Linked DNA regions of Coturnix japonica. The protein of the gene in region 1 purifies or fractionates together with the protein of each later gene. This does not show direct contact. Links are inferred from orthologs where the notes say so. Each region holds a gene or a part of one and is shown in the gene's direction. Other genes may lie near its edges.

Evidence for each region.
Region 2: the proteins of CAV1 (region 1) and TRPC1 purify together in Homo sapiens (affinity purification with western blotting; 3 studies listed by BioGRID and IntAct, with this or other methods). This does not show direct contact. The link is inferred for Coturnix japonica from reciprocal best matches to the Homo sapiens genes CAV1 and TRPC1.
Region 3: the proteins of CAV1 (region 1) and potassium voltage-gated channel subfamily A member 5-like purify together in Homo sapiens (affinity purification with western blotting, with the first as the bait; 3 studies listed by BioGRID). This does not show direct contact. The link is inferred for Coturnix japonica from reciprocal best matches to the Homo sapiens genes CAV1 and KCNA5.

The regions. Positions count from the first base shown.
Region 1 is NC_029516.1:22,486,348-22,489,847, reverse strand, and holds part of CAV1 (caveolin-1), read left to right. Parts: intron 1-1,417; coding exon 1,418-1,759; 3' UTR 1,760-3,500. UniProt on the Homo sapiens protein: May act as a scaffolding protein within caveolar membranes. Forms a stable heterooligomeric complex with CAV2 that targets to lipid rafts and drives caveolae formation. Mediates the recruitment of CAVIN proteins (CAVIN1/2/3/4) to the caveolae.
Region 2 is NC_029524.1:8,921,060-8,925,055, forward strand, and holds the start of TRPC1 (short transient receptor potential channel 1), read left to right. Parts: upstream 1-1,196; 5' UTR 1,197-1,395; coding exon 1,396-1,531; intron 1,532-3,047; coding exon 3,048-3,202; intron 3,203-3,996. UniProt on the Homo sapiens protein: Forms a receptor-activated non-selective calcium permeant cation channel. Forms a heteromeric ion channel with TRPC4 or TRPC5 that has reduced calcium permeability compared to the homomeric TRPC4 or TRPC5 channel.
Region 3 is NC_029516.1:67,515,118-67,519,190, forward strand, and holds the start of potassium voltage-gated channel subfamily A member 5-like, read left to right. Parts: upstream 1-1,273; 5' UTR 1,274-1,595; coding exon 1,596-3,494; 3' UTR 3,495-4,073. UniProt on the Homo sapiens protein: Voltage-gated potassium channel that mediates transmembrane potassium transport in excitable membranes. Forms tetrameric potassium-selective channels through which potassium ions pass in accordance with their electrochemical gradient.

The DNA.
Region 1 (3,500 bases):
CTTTGTAGCCCTCCTCTGGACCCTCTCCAACAGCTCCCTAACAAAGAACTCAGTTGAATTCACGTGAAGACTCAATGAGAGAAAGGGAGAAGGTTTTTTGTCAACTTCAGTCTGTATTTTAATCGAGCTTTTTTTGAGCCTTTTCCTACAGCATAGGTGATACACTGAGTATATTCACATTCATGTCCTTCCAGCGTGCTAAGGACCTGTTGCCTGACTTTCTGAGACCTCTGGCCCATATCTTCCCTTATGGCAGCAGTATCATTGGACACTGGGATTCAGTCCCAGGAATGCATTTTCTTTTTTTCTTCCATCTAAGTTAAACAACCATTTCATTTCTTAGAGAGATATAATTTGATGGCGTTCTTTTTCCTGTTGTATGCAGCACCTATGCAATCTGTTGCGCTGCCTAAATTAAATATCCTGTATGGTGGGTTATATCAAACACATTTGTGTGACATGGAGCTGAACTATCATAGTAATTCTGTTAATTTTCTAATAGAAATGTTATGACAATTAGGCTTCCTGAAAAGCTCAATATTTCAACAGAGAATGGTAAAATATGCATGCTGGAATGTACTGCTTCCTTAGATGACTCTGTGAACAGTTTATGAATAATATTCAAAACTATAAAATATGTGGAAGAGTGTGTTCCTTCTAAATATTAACACGTTATCCTGACTATGTCTTCCACTAACAGTGTTATCACGTAAACAGAGCAGGTTAGAACAAAATGGCTCTCGTGTGAAAAGCCTTCTTACGCTTAATAAAATTGAAAGACTCCCTCACTCTTTTACAATAAAGATAAGTTCCATCTTAGGCAGTTCTAAATCCAGCACTTTGTTTTTCAGCCAATCAACAGCTATCTATGCCTATTTCAAAGTATATTTAGATGCCCTCAACATTTGTTCACTGTCAAAATTCAGCAATACTATATAAGGGAAGGTGGAAAAAGTCAAACAAATAAAACACATTTTATTGATGTGTTAAATGTCAAAGCAGTGTCTGCACTTGTTCCATTTATAAAGATGTGAGATGGTGAAAAGCTAGACAATGAAAATACAATGTTTCTATCACCTTTTCATGTCTTAAGTAGAATTAAGGGCATTCCTTACCCTTAAGGCTGCAGGAGAGGAGGACAAAATATTCAGTTCTTTGGATAGCTCTTCTCCATCTAAAAGTTAGATGTGTATCATTGAGCTAATCATTAAGTATCACCTATAGTCAGTGGGGAAAAAAAAAAAGACAAGTCTTGCTCATGGCTTAGGTGATATTTTAAAATGGGTTAATTCATATTGGGATGTAAGAAGCTTCAATGTTTGTTACAGGCGATCATTGCTTTTGAGGAAGGGGCTTTCTGGGCTCCACACTTGATGAGGATGTTTGACTGACCTGATTTTTGTGTTCTTTGCTGCAGATTGATTTTGAAGATGTGATTGCTGAGCCAGAAGGAACACACAGCTTTGATGGGATTTGGAAGGCCAGTTTTACCACTTTCACTGTAACAAAATACTGGTTTTATCGCTTGCTGTCAGCAATCTTTGGCATTCCCATGGCACTCATCTGGGGCATCTACTTTGCTATCTTGTCATTCCTGCACATCTGGGCGGTGGTGCCGTGCATCAGGAGCTACCTGATTGAGATCCAGTGCATTAGCCGTGTCTATTCTATCTGCATCCACACATTCTGCGACCCACTGTTTGAGGCTATGGGCAAGGTGTTCAGCAGCATCCGAGCCACAGTACAGAAAGACATTTGAGGGACATTTCAAAAAGCCTGGAGAAGGGGTGGGAGATTTGTGTTGTTTGGGGTGTTTTGGTGCCAGTTTCACGTTTCCCAAAGCAACATACAGCAACTGGTGGATATACTGGCCCAAAACAAAAAATCACTTGCTCAATATCCTTTTTTACTATGTATTCATACTGGACTACTTGCCTATTGTGTTTTCTCTTTTCAGTCTGTATTTCAAACTAACCTTAAATAGCTATTCCTCCATGACAGCTGCATATCATTTTGCTGGCTGTTCAATTCAGAGTCTGAAATGTTGTTGGATGCCTTTTTGTCTCACTGTTCATTCCTTGTAAGATAAATCCACAGAGTTACCAAAGAATGACAAAAAAGCTTTCCAACGCTGTAATGCCATTCATTTTATTGTGGCCAAAGAGTGTAGAGCTGCTGCAGCAGAATAAACATGACAAGCTGGCAGGTTTTAGCAGAATGTTCTTTTTCAATTGTGTAGTCAGTTGACTACAGCGATTTGCAATCATGGTCAGGTGTGATGTACTATGAATACATTGGATAAGTAAACAATTTACTTAATTAATGAATGTCCTGAAAAACTAACATTTCATCAGGTTGGAGACACTGACATGTGAAAGCTTTGCTCATCCATAAAAAGGCTTCTGTTAGTGCCTTTGTATCTCATTCTTACTTGGAAGTTTGCAGCCAGTTGTAGCTCAACCTTCACTAAATTGTAGAAGAAAAGTGAAGTTGAAAACTAAAACTGGTCATTATGGAAACGTTTTCCTGACTGTGACTTATGACACATCCTTTAGCTGTTTTAGGTGTTTATCTCGTGGGCTTCATTTATTTTTTTTCCAGAGTATTCATATAAAAGCATGCCAGAGATAACCCTGAGTTACAAGAAACACGAAGGTGTGCCAAACACAAGCCACAAAATGCCAAGGAGGGGCTGCCTCTAAAGGAAACTTTCCAATGAGCTTTAAAAAACTTTCCTATCAGCAGAAGTCAGCATGCCGCGAGCACACATTATTTTCAGATGAACTGACGCTTTGCTGAATCTAAATTAATCCATCATGAGAGACGGTTTAGAAACTTCACATTGTGGATTAGTCTGTTTTTAGCTGTGCTGCAACATCAGGAAGTCTTAAATGGAGGGTGTTGTGTCAAGCTAGCCTATGTAGCAAGGTTAAAGGCCTACAAGGCAAAGTCCTTGCGACGCTTTCTGATGCTGTGACCTACAGGAGCTTTTTGCCCTCATGATAGTACTGTGTTGAGAGATACAGCCCGTATCCTCATGTGGTTTGCATGAAGCTTTTGTAAAAAGAGTTGTGAGGCTGATCTGCTTTATTGTAACCAGCCTGAGGCCTGAGCCTGCTCTGGTTGGCATCTACTGCAAACCAGTCTTTGACCTCCAAGAGAACAGGGCTTGGCCCTTGGAATTGAGCACGGAGCTGTCTGGTACACCTGCAGCTTTTTTATCTAGCGCTGATATTTCACCTACTGCTTTGCTTAACACGGGAGTGCCTTCAGTTGCATTTCTGCCAAAGCATTGAAAACTTTAGGAAATGCTGCATTTTTTTTAATGGGGCCGGGAGGGAGGAAGAGAGGGAGGGAAGAGGGGAAAAGGTGCACAAAAAGTTACAAAGCTATTAACTACTATTGTTTGCATTAAAAACAGACACTGGTATGGATATAGTTTTATGTTTTTCTATGTACATAATGGAGAGTGTACTATTATAGATTTTTTTTTTCTGTAC
Region 2 (3,996 bases), on another chromosome or scaffold:
CTGTGTCCTGAGGAAAAAAGCCTAGTGGGCAGAAATGTGATCATGTTGTTAGATCTGCACATATGTTACCTATTTCAGTTGAACTGCACGTGAGATTTTTTTTTAATTGTAAAATATTGTAAAAGTGAAAAATAAAAGCCTGGCCTGTCCAGAAGGGGTCCTTACAGGTTGTTCCTTTGATTTTTACTGGAGTATATGGCATATATAGAGAGAGGCTTTGTATCATTGTCTGGGTGAGATTTCGTATTGATCTTAAAGCAAATATTTGTACCTTTCTGTGCAGCCATAATTTTACACCAAAGGCTCTGGATTTTTAATTCTTACCAGAAGCTGAACAGTAAGAAAGGAAAAACTAAATACAAATAGATGTTTCTTTTTTAAAGATATGGAGCCACTTTTTCTCTCTCTGCTTCTAGAAACAGTAAGTGTGGCAAGATCCAAGCATGATAATGTGAGCAGTTGTAGCAAGCTTCTGTTATCTTGCATAACATATTAAAAGAAAGAAGTTACATCCATTTGATTTCTGTTATGTAAGGGGATACTCAGTGTCTCAGAGAGCTAAGGGCTTGCATGTGTGTATTTTAGAAAATCAATGGGAATTATGTTTACAATCTGTTCAAGCATATTTTGATAAAATAGAAATGGATTTTCAGGGCACCACAGCTTCTCCATAGCATCCATCCTTATAGCTCACTAAAGCGAATGAGGCTGTGCCAGTGGGGTCAGCTCAGGATGACTGCCAGCAGCTTGAGGGGAAGAATTTGGGGATAAGGCCTCGTGTATCATGACCACCTGCACTAAACCACAGAAACAGGAGCTAGGGCTGCAAGTTATCAACATACAGAATTAGTTGTCTTTAAATGGCAAATATGAAGGCATGTAATTGTAACGTAAAAAGGAAGAATTAATGCCTGTGATGTCTAGAAGTACTCCCCTAAGCGTTAACTGATAAAAACATGTCACTGCTCCGTGTGCGTGCAGGTACAGCGCAGTCAGGCCCTTGACTCTGTGCTCCTGCCTCTGAGGCCCGCGCCATCAGGCTCCAGCCGGGCCTGAAAGCACAGGCTGACCGCGGTCCCCTACAAAAGCCGTTTTGTAGGGGTGACGCTAAACCGCGGAGGCGCACGGCGCTGCGGGAGGACGCGGCGCTGCAGCAGCCACAGCCCTGCGGCGTGCTCCTCCCCGCTACCGCCCGGAGAGGCGAGGCCGCCATTGGATCCTGCGCAGTGCAGCGGGGAGCGGCCGCCCTGCCCTGCCCTGCCCTGCCCTGCCCTGCCCTGCCCTGTGCCGGCAGTGCCGGGTGCTGCCGCCCCGCTCCCCCCGGGGCTGCCGGGGTCCTCCTGCTGCGCGGCCTCGCCCCGCCCGCGCGCTCATGGGCCTGGCGGAGCCGGCGCTATGGCGGCTCTGTACCAGAGCGCGGACCCGTCCGCCTCGGCCTCGCCCAACAAGCTGCTGGCGCTGAAGGATGTACGGCAGGTGAAGGAAGAGACCACGCTTGACGAGAAGCTTTTCCTGCTGGCCTGTGACAAAGGTACGGAGCCCCTTGATGCGGCCTCGGGAACGGGGGGCTCGGCCTCTTGCTCCGAGGCCTGAGCTGTTCTCTGCCCGCAGGCAGCGGCCGCGCTTCGGGCGGGGCAGGGGATGAACGTTCTCCTTGCAGCGGCGTTCTGTGTCGGTGTGCGATGGGTCAGTGTGCCACGGGGTTTGTGTTGTGACACCAGTCAGTTAACGTTTGCTCAGGTCGCTTTTAAAGTTCCTTTCCAATGGGCGACTTACCTGGGCGTCAGTGGAATGCCTCGGGCACTGAATGGCACCTATGGTTGTGGGTGGATTTTTCCTGTCTAAAATCTGATGCTTGCTTAGTTTAAGCACGTGTTTATGTACCTTGTTTAAAGATTGTCTTAAATCAAACGGTTCTTGGCACTTTAAAAGCATTGGACCCCAAGTCAGGTTGTTGATCAGGTGATGAATGGTTCTGTGTTTCTATGTAGCAGTCAATGTGTTGATGTGCAGCCCTGCCCACTGCTGTCTGTTGGGTTGGTGCTGGGCAGCGGTTCAGAGGCAACTGGCGGCCTGTGAAGCTGGGGTGCTCAATGGGAGGTCAGTGCCTTGCTGTCAGATGGACACACTGCCCACAGCCCTGCTGCTGGTGGAGCCTGTCCTGGAGACTAGAGCCAGGCAGCACGCTCTCAAAGTGTAAACAGGCTCAGAGAGCTAAAGGATGCACGATAAAACAGCAACGAAAAGATCTTTAAAATAATAAAAGAAAAACAACCATTCTGATGTGTCTAACTGCGGGTTTAGTACTGTTACAGGCTGTATCTGAATGTTCTGTGAGGGTTGTACAGCAAGATCTGTCTTCGTCATGGTCCTCTGTGCCGTGAAATAGCTTGTTAGAGGCAAAAATAAAACTTCCTTGGCAGCAAGCAGTTAAACAAAATAATACGTAATGTCAGTACTGCTGCGTCTGTATTTCAGGCAAGTTGGAAAGTGCAGATGTCTACACAATACGGTTAGTTTTACTTGCTCATCAAACTTGTTAGCTTGATTTTTGTAACACTGCAGCATCACATCACCCTGACTTTCGTGATTGGTACGTTAAAGATGGAAATAAATAGGAAATGCCAACATGGCTTGTACTCAAGAGAAGCAGGTGTGTATGTGGTGCTGTATAGAGGGCTGCTCCGATGCTGCGGTTCTTCTGCACCAAGTAGCCTTCTTTGATGGAGCTGATGTTTCCAGCATCTCAGAGGTTATATATGCGGTGCTGCCTCAGTTTTGAAAAGTACCTGTGCTTTTGTGTGTTATATGTGCTTGTTTTCAAGACTGGAATTAAGGGAGGCATTAAATGTCTTAGTGCTTCCCTGAAGGAGAACTCTTAGTATGTCTTCAGTTTTCCATCTGGAGGGAGAATTCTTATCTCTCTTCTTAGATGCCTGACGTACTCGCTGTATTGTCAGTTGTGATGGACTGTAGCTGGTACTTCAACATGTTAACGTGCTTTTACAATAAGAACGCTGAGATATATTCATACATTGTTCATGCAGGTGATTATTACATGGTTAAGAAACTCTTAGAAGAAAACAGCTCTGGTGAGATGAACATAAATTGTGTGGATGTGCTTGGAAGAAATGCTGTTACCATAACGATTGAAAATGAAAATTTGGACATACTACAGCTTCTTCTGGATTATGGGTGCCAGGTATACAACACATTGATTATTGGAAACTTGGAGAGTAGTCATTGGTTTCTGTTGTCTATTTTGTTTGTATTTTTTTCTGTTGACGTGTCGGAATTTGGCAGAAATTCCAGTTCTTTATAGGCACTTCAGCCTTTTTTTCCAGGTAGTAATTGTGAAAATTGCTTTAAATAGGAGGACGTAAATGTGTTTTGTCACAGATGATTTCAGGATAAGGCAAGCGTGCGTTTCCACGATGCCTTCTTGTAAAACCTGGTCTGTGCTGAGGCACGGGGCAGAGGCAGTTTCATATCAATGGTACTTGCTTGACTCTTGTGTTCTTGTAAGTGTGCTCAGCTACTGCCAGGAGTTGTAGCTATGAGGGTGTTACGAACAGGCAAAAAAATAATCTTTCTTGAAGTTGTTTATTACTAGACAGAAAAAGAAAACAGGCAGCCTTCCCCTCCCTGGATCTCTGTTTTAGTGGCAATATCACAATCTGTTTGAGTTTTCTGAAGTGAATTTAAAAGGGTGCTATCAGCTGTATGGAAAGTGGAAAGCTGTTCAGCTTAACTTCGGGGAAGTCTCCGGGGTAGTCATGAGCCCAGGAAAAAAGTTCACATTTCCAGCTTTATGACAGAGCTGTGAAGGCAGGGCTGAAGTATCTGATGTGTCTGAGTTGTGTTACAGACACTTGGTTGTTACATTTTTATTAAGCTTTTACACCCTTGCTTATAATCTGTCTCTTAAAACCTGATTTTTTTTTTTTTAGTATCCTATGTCATCTTTGCTGACAAGTTTTACAATTGGTTCTGATG
Region 3 (4,073 bases), about 45 Mb from region 1:
AGAGCATCAGGTTAAAACATGAGTCATACATCTCACTTGTTATGTCTGCATGTCATACTTTCTCTCCAATATCTTTGCTTCCTACTAGATGGTCTGCTCTTCTCATTTCACAATACTCAGAAAATTTGGAATGCTAAATAAGAATTGCCCTTTAAAATTTGCTTTTGGAATAGATTTTTCTTCCCACCCTTTCCTCCCCTCTTCCCTTGTACCCACATACACAGATAACATCCTAAGTTCTCAGAAATGTTGGAGCTGCAAAGAAGGTGCCCAGAGAACATAGCTGTGCTTTCCAACTGTGTCAGTTAGCAATGTGCATTTTCCTCATCAGGATCTCAGAGCAGCTCTAGAAAATATACTGTAATTTTGTTTCTAGGAATTACTTGTGTGAGTAAGTTCTCAATGGCAGAGCAGGTCAGTGATTCCATGCTTAGCTCTCAGAGGCAACTTTTAGATCACAGACAAATCATCATTTATAATAATCATTCAATATAATTATGGTTTTCTGTTTTGGCATGGCTTATAATATCTTTAGGCATATTTCATAAACAGAGGTAATGGTTTAAATTAAGTGAAAACTCATTAATCCCAGTTATTCTACATTTGATGAATATCATTACTACTGCAAGGATTCAAATATCACTGCAGTGATGCCACCTAGAAGGCAAAATGTTTTTTCCATTTAGTATCATCTTTTACAACTGATGTTGTGCATATATATATATATGTATATGTATAGGTTTTAATCCTGTGTTGTTTATGTATATATTTAGAATATGTTGTCTTCTAGACCTTGAAGTTCACAGTTTGAACCCAGGAAATAAGACCACAGCATCGATCATATTACTGAAGTGTAACCAAAGTCATCATATAAAGCTACTTCAATTCATTTTCTTTAATAAAATGCATATATTTTGAAGTGTGTCAGCCTTGGATGTGGGTTTAAGAAATCATTGAAGGCAAAGTATGGTCCCAAATTATAAATGCTAACATTCGGGTAATCCAGTGTAACGTTTGCTATCTGCTGGCCTCAGAAGCACCTTTTGGAACTACATGTTAAGGGCGGGGAAAGGATGGGAGCAAAGCAAAACAGATCCCATCCCTTTCTTTGTTCTCATTAAGCTGTGAAGGCAGGAGGATTCAGCAGGCACCAAGAGGCGCTCTGGATTTCATTTGAGACAATTCCAGCCGGAGACTTCCCCTGCTCAAGGGATGCGTACCCGCTCGGGGTAACACCGTGATTCCCTCCGCTTGGGCACGGAGTGGCTGGGCTGGAGCACGGATGCTGTCGGTCCCACCTGCGGGGCGGGGCGCTGCTGCGGCAGCCCGATGCCGGGGGAAGCTGGCGCCGCCACCGCTGGGGAGAAGGGATCCTCGCTGACGTCAAATCATCAGAATGATCGCTCGTTCATATCCGGGTCCCCGAACGGCTTCCCCAGGCCGCGCTCGGCCGCCGAGCACTGAGGGATAGGCGGGCAGGGCAGGGCAGGGCAGGGCAGGGCCGCCGCCCACCCATCCGGAGGTGGATGGCGGCAGCGAGGCGTCGTGCATAGAATGCCCGCCACCTCAGCGGAGCCCGCCTGCTGCCGCTGCCCATGGAGATCGCGCTGGTGACTCTGGAGAACGGCGGTGGCGGGGCCATCCCGGCCGGCGAGGATGCCACGGCCGGTAACGCCGGCGGTAGCAGCAGGGCTCGGAGACGGCGCGATCTACGCCACACCGCGGGATCCCCGTCTGTTCCGAGACTGAGCGACGGCAAGGAGGGAACCCCACCGGCATCACCGCCGCCGCAGGTCGAAGAGGAGCGGGAGGGGCCCCCGCTTGCCCCTCCAGGAGGCGGCGGGAGGCGCCGCAGCAGCAGCGAGGGCGGCATCAGCGGCCGGGCGGCGTCGGGACCCCAACCGCAACCAAACGCACCGTGCCCCGGGCCGGCTTCGGAAATGGATCCCCCGGAGGAAGGGGGTCACCGCCGGGGCATGGCCATGGCAGCAGGCAGCGAGGAGGAGGAGATGAAGGCAGCGAGCCGGGGTGCAATGCATCATCAGAGGGTGCTAATCAATATCTCTGGGCTGCACTTTGAGACTCAGCTGGGCACCCTCAACCAGTTTCCTGACACACTGTTGGGTGATCCAGCAAAGCGAGGCAGATACTTTGACCCTCTCAGAAATGAATACTTCTTTGATAGGAACCGGCCCAGCTTTGATGGCATCCTGTACTATTACCAGTCTGGGGGCAAGCTCCGCCGGCCTATCAATGTCTCCATTGATGTCTTTGCTGATGAGATCCGCTTCTACCAGCTGGGGAAGGAGGCCATGGAGCGCTTCCGGGAGGATGAGGGTTTCATCAGAGAAGAGGACAAGCCCCTTCCCCACAACGAGTTTCAGCGCCAGGTCTGGCTCATCTTTGAGTACCCTGAGAGTTCCAGCTCAGCCCGGGCCATCGCCATTGTCTCCGTCTTGGTCATCCTTATCTCCATCATCATCTTCTGCCTGGAGACTCTGCCTGAATTCAGGGATGAACGAGAGATACCCATGTTCTTGCCCCCGCAAAGTGGAGGTTTGAATGCCACAGCTGGAGACTCCTCACCCATGCAGTCACTGAGTAGCCTCTCTGACCCATTCTTCATCATTGAGACCACTTGTGTCATCTGGTTCACCTTTGAGCTCCTTGTGCGTTTCTTCACCTGCCCCAGCAAGCCAGAGTTCTCCCGCAACATCATGAACATCATTGACATCGTGGCCATTATCCCCTACTTCATCACGCTGGGCACAGAATTGGCCAATGAACAACAGCAGCCTGGAGGTAGCAGCAGCAATGGGAGTGGAGGCCAGCAACAAGCCATGTCCTTGGCCATCCTCCGAGTCATCCGCTTGGTGCGGGTCTTCCGGATCTTCAAGCTGTCCCGGCACTCCAAGGGGCTGCAGATCCTGGGGCAGACCCTCAAGGCCAGCATGCGGGAGCTGGGTTTGCTCATCTTCTTCCTCTTCATCGGCGTCATCCTCTTCTCCAGCGCTGTCTACTTTGCTGAGGCTGATGACCCTGAGTCTCATTTCTCCAGCATCCCTGATGCTTTCTGGTGGGCTGTGGTGACCATGACCACTGTGGGCTATGGGGACATGCGACCTGTTTCTGTGGGGGGCAAGATCGTGGGGTCCTTGTGTGCCATTGCTGGTGTGCTCACCATTGCCCTGCCTGTCCCTGTTATTGTGTCCAACTTCAACTACTTCTACCACCGAGAGACTGACCATGAAGAGCAAGCTATGCTCAAAGAAGAACACAGTAGTGCTCAGGACAGTGTAACTGGGGTAGATGGAAAGAGAAGATGCAGTAAAAGCTCTCTGGACAAATCTGTTGTGCACTTGGAAAATAATGAAGAGTTCAAAAGCAGTGCCAGCCCTTTAAAGAAAACCAATATCAAAGCTAAAAGTAACGTAGATCTCAGAAAATCACTATATGCCCTCTGTCTGGATAGCAGCAGGGAAACAGACCTGTGAGGAAAGGAGAGAATTGTAGTTAGAGATGCAGCAGAATTTGCTGGTGTCAGAAACTTACTACTATATTATTTTCCTACCAATTTTGTTGTTTTTTTGGTTTGTTTGTTTGTTAGGTTTTTAAATCAGACTATATTTTGTAATTTGATCACTGTCCTGAGCAGTCCTCCGGGAATAAATGTTTTTATGTTCTTTTTCCATGACACAAATGGTCACCTGTTTTTAAAATAGATTCAGTAAACTATTCTCCGTGATGCAGGAGCTGGTAAATTATGAAAATACAAAATCTAATTTTTAGAAACTTTTATTAGCAAATGATGGTTGGTTTGAAATGGTCATTTGTAATCAATACATTTTCTGCAGATTATTAAAGAGCTGGGGGACATGTGCAGAGAATGAGTGAGTTTTGGAGTGTGAGAGAACAATGAGAGTTTTCAGTTTCAAACTGAAAATATTCTAATTTATTTTGTGTCTACATCAATATATTTATCGATGAAATGGGATTTCCTATTACTGAGACATTCCACTCCATTAAAGCACTAGGAATACTGGCAGATCAGCACTTCTAGAGTTTTCCACTTG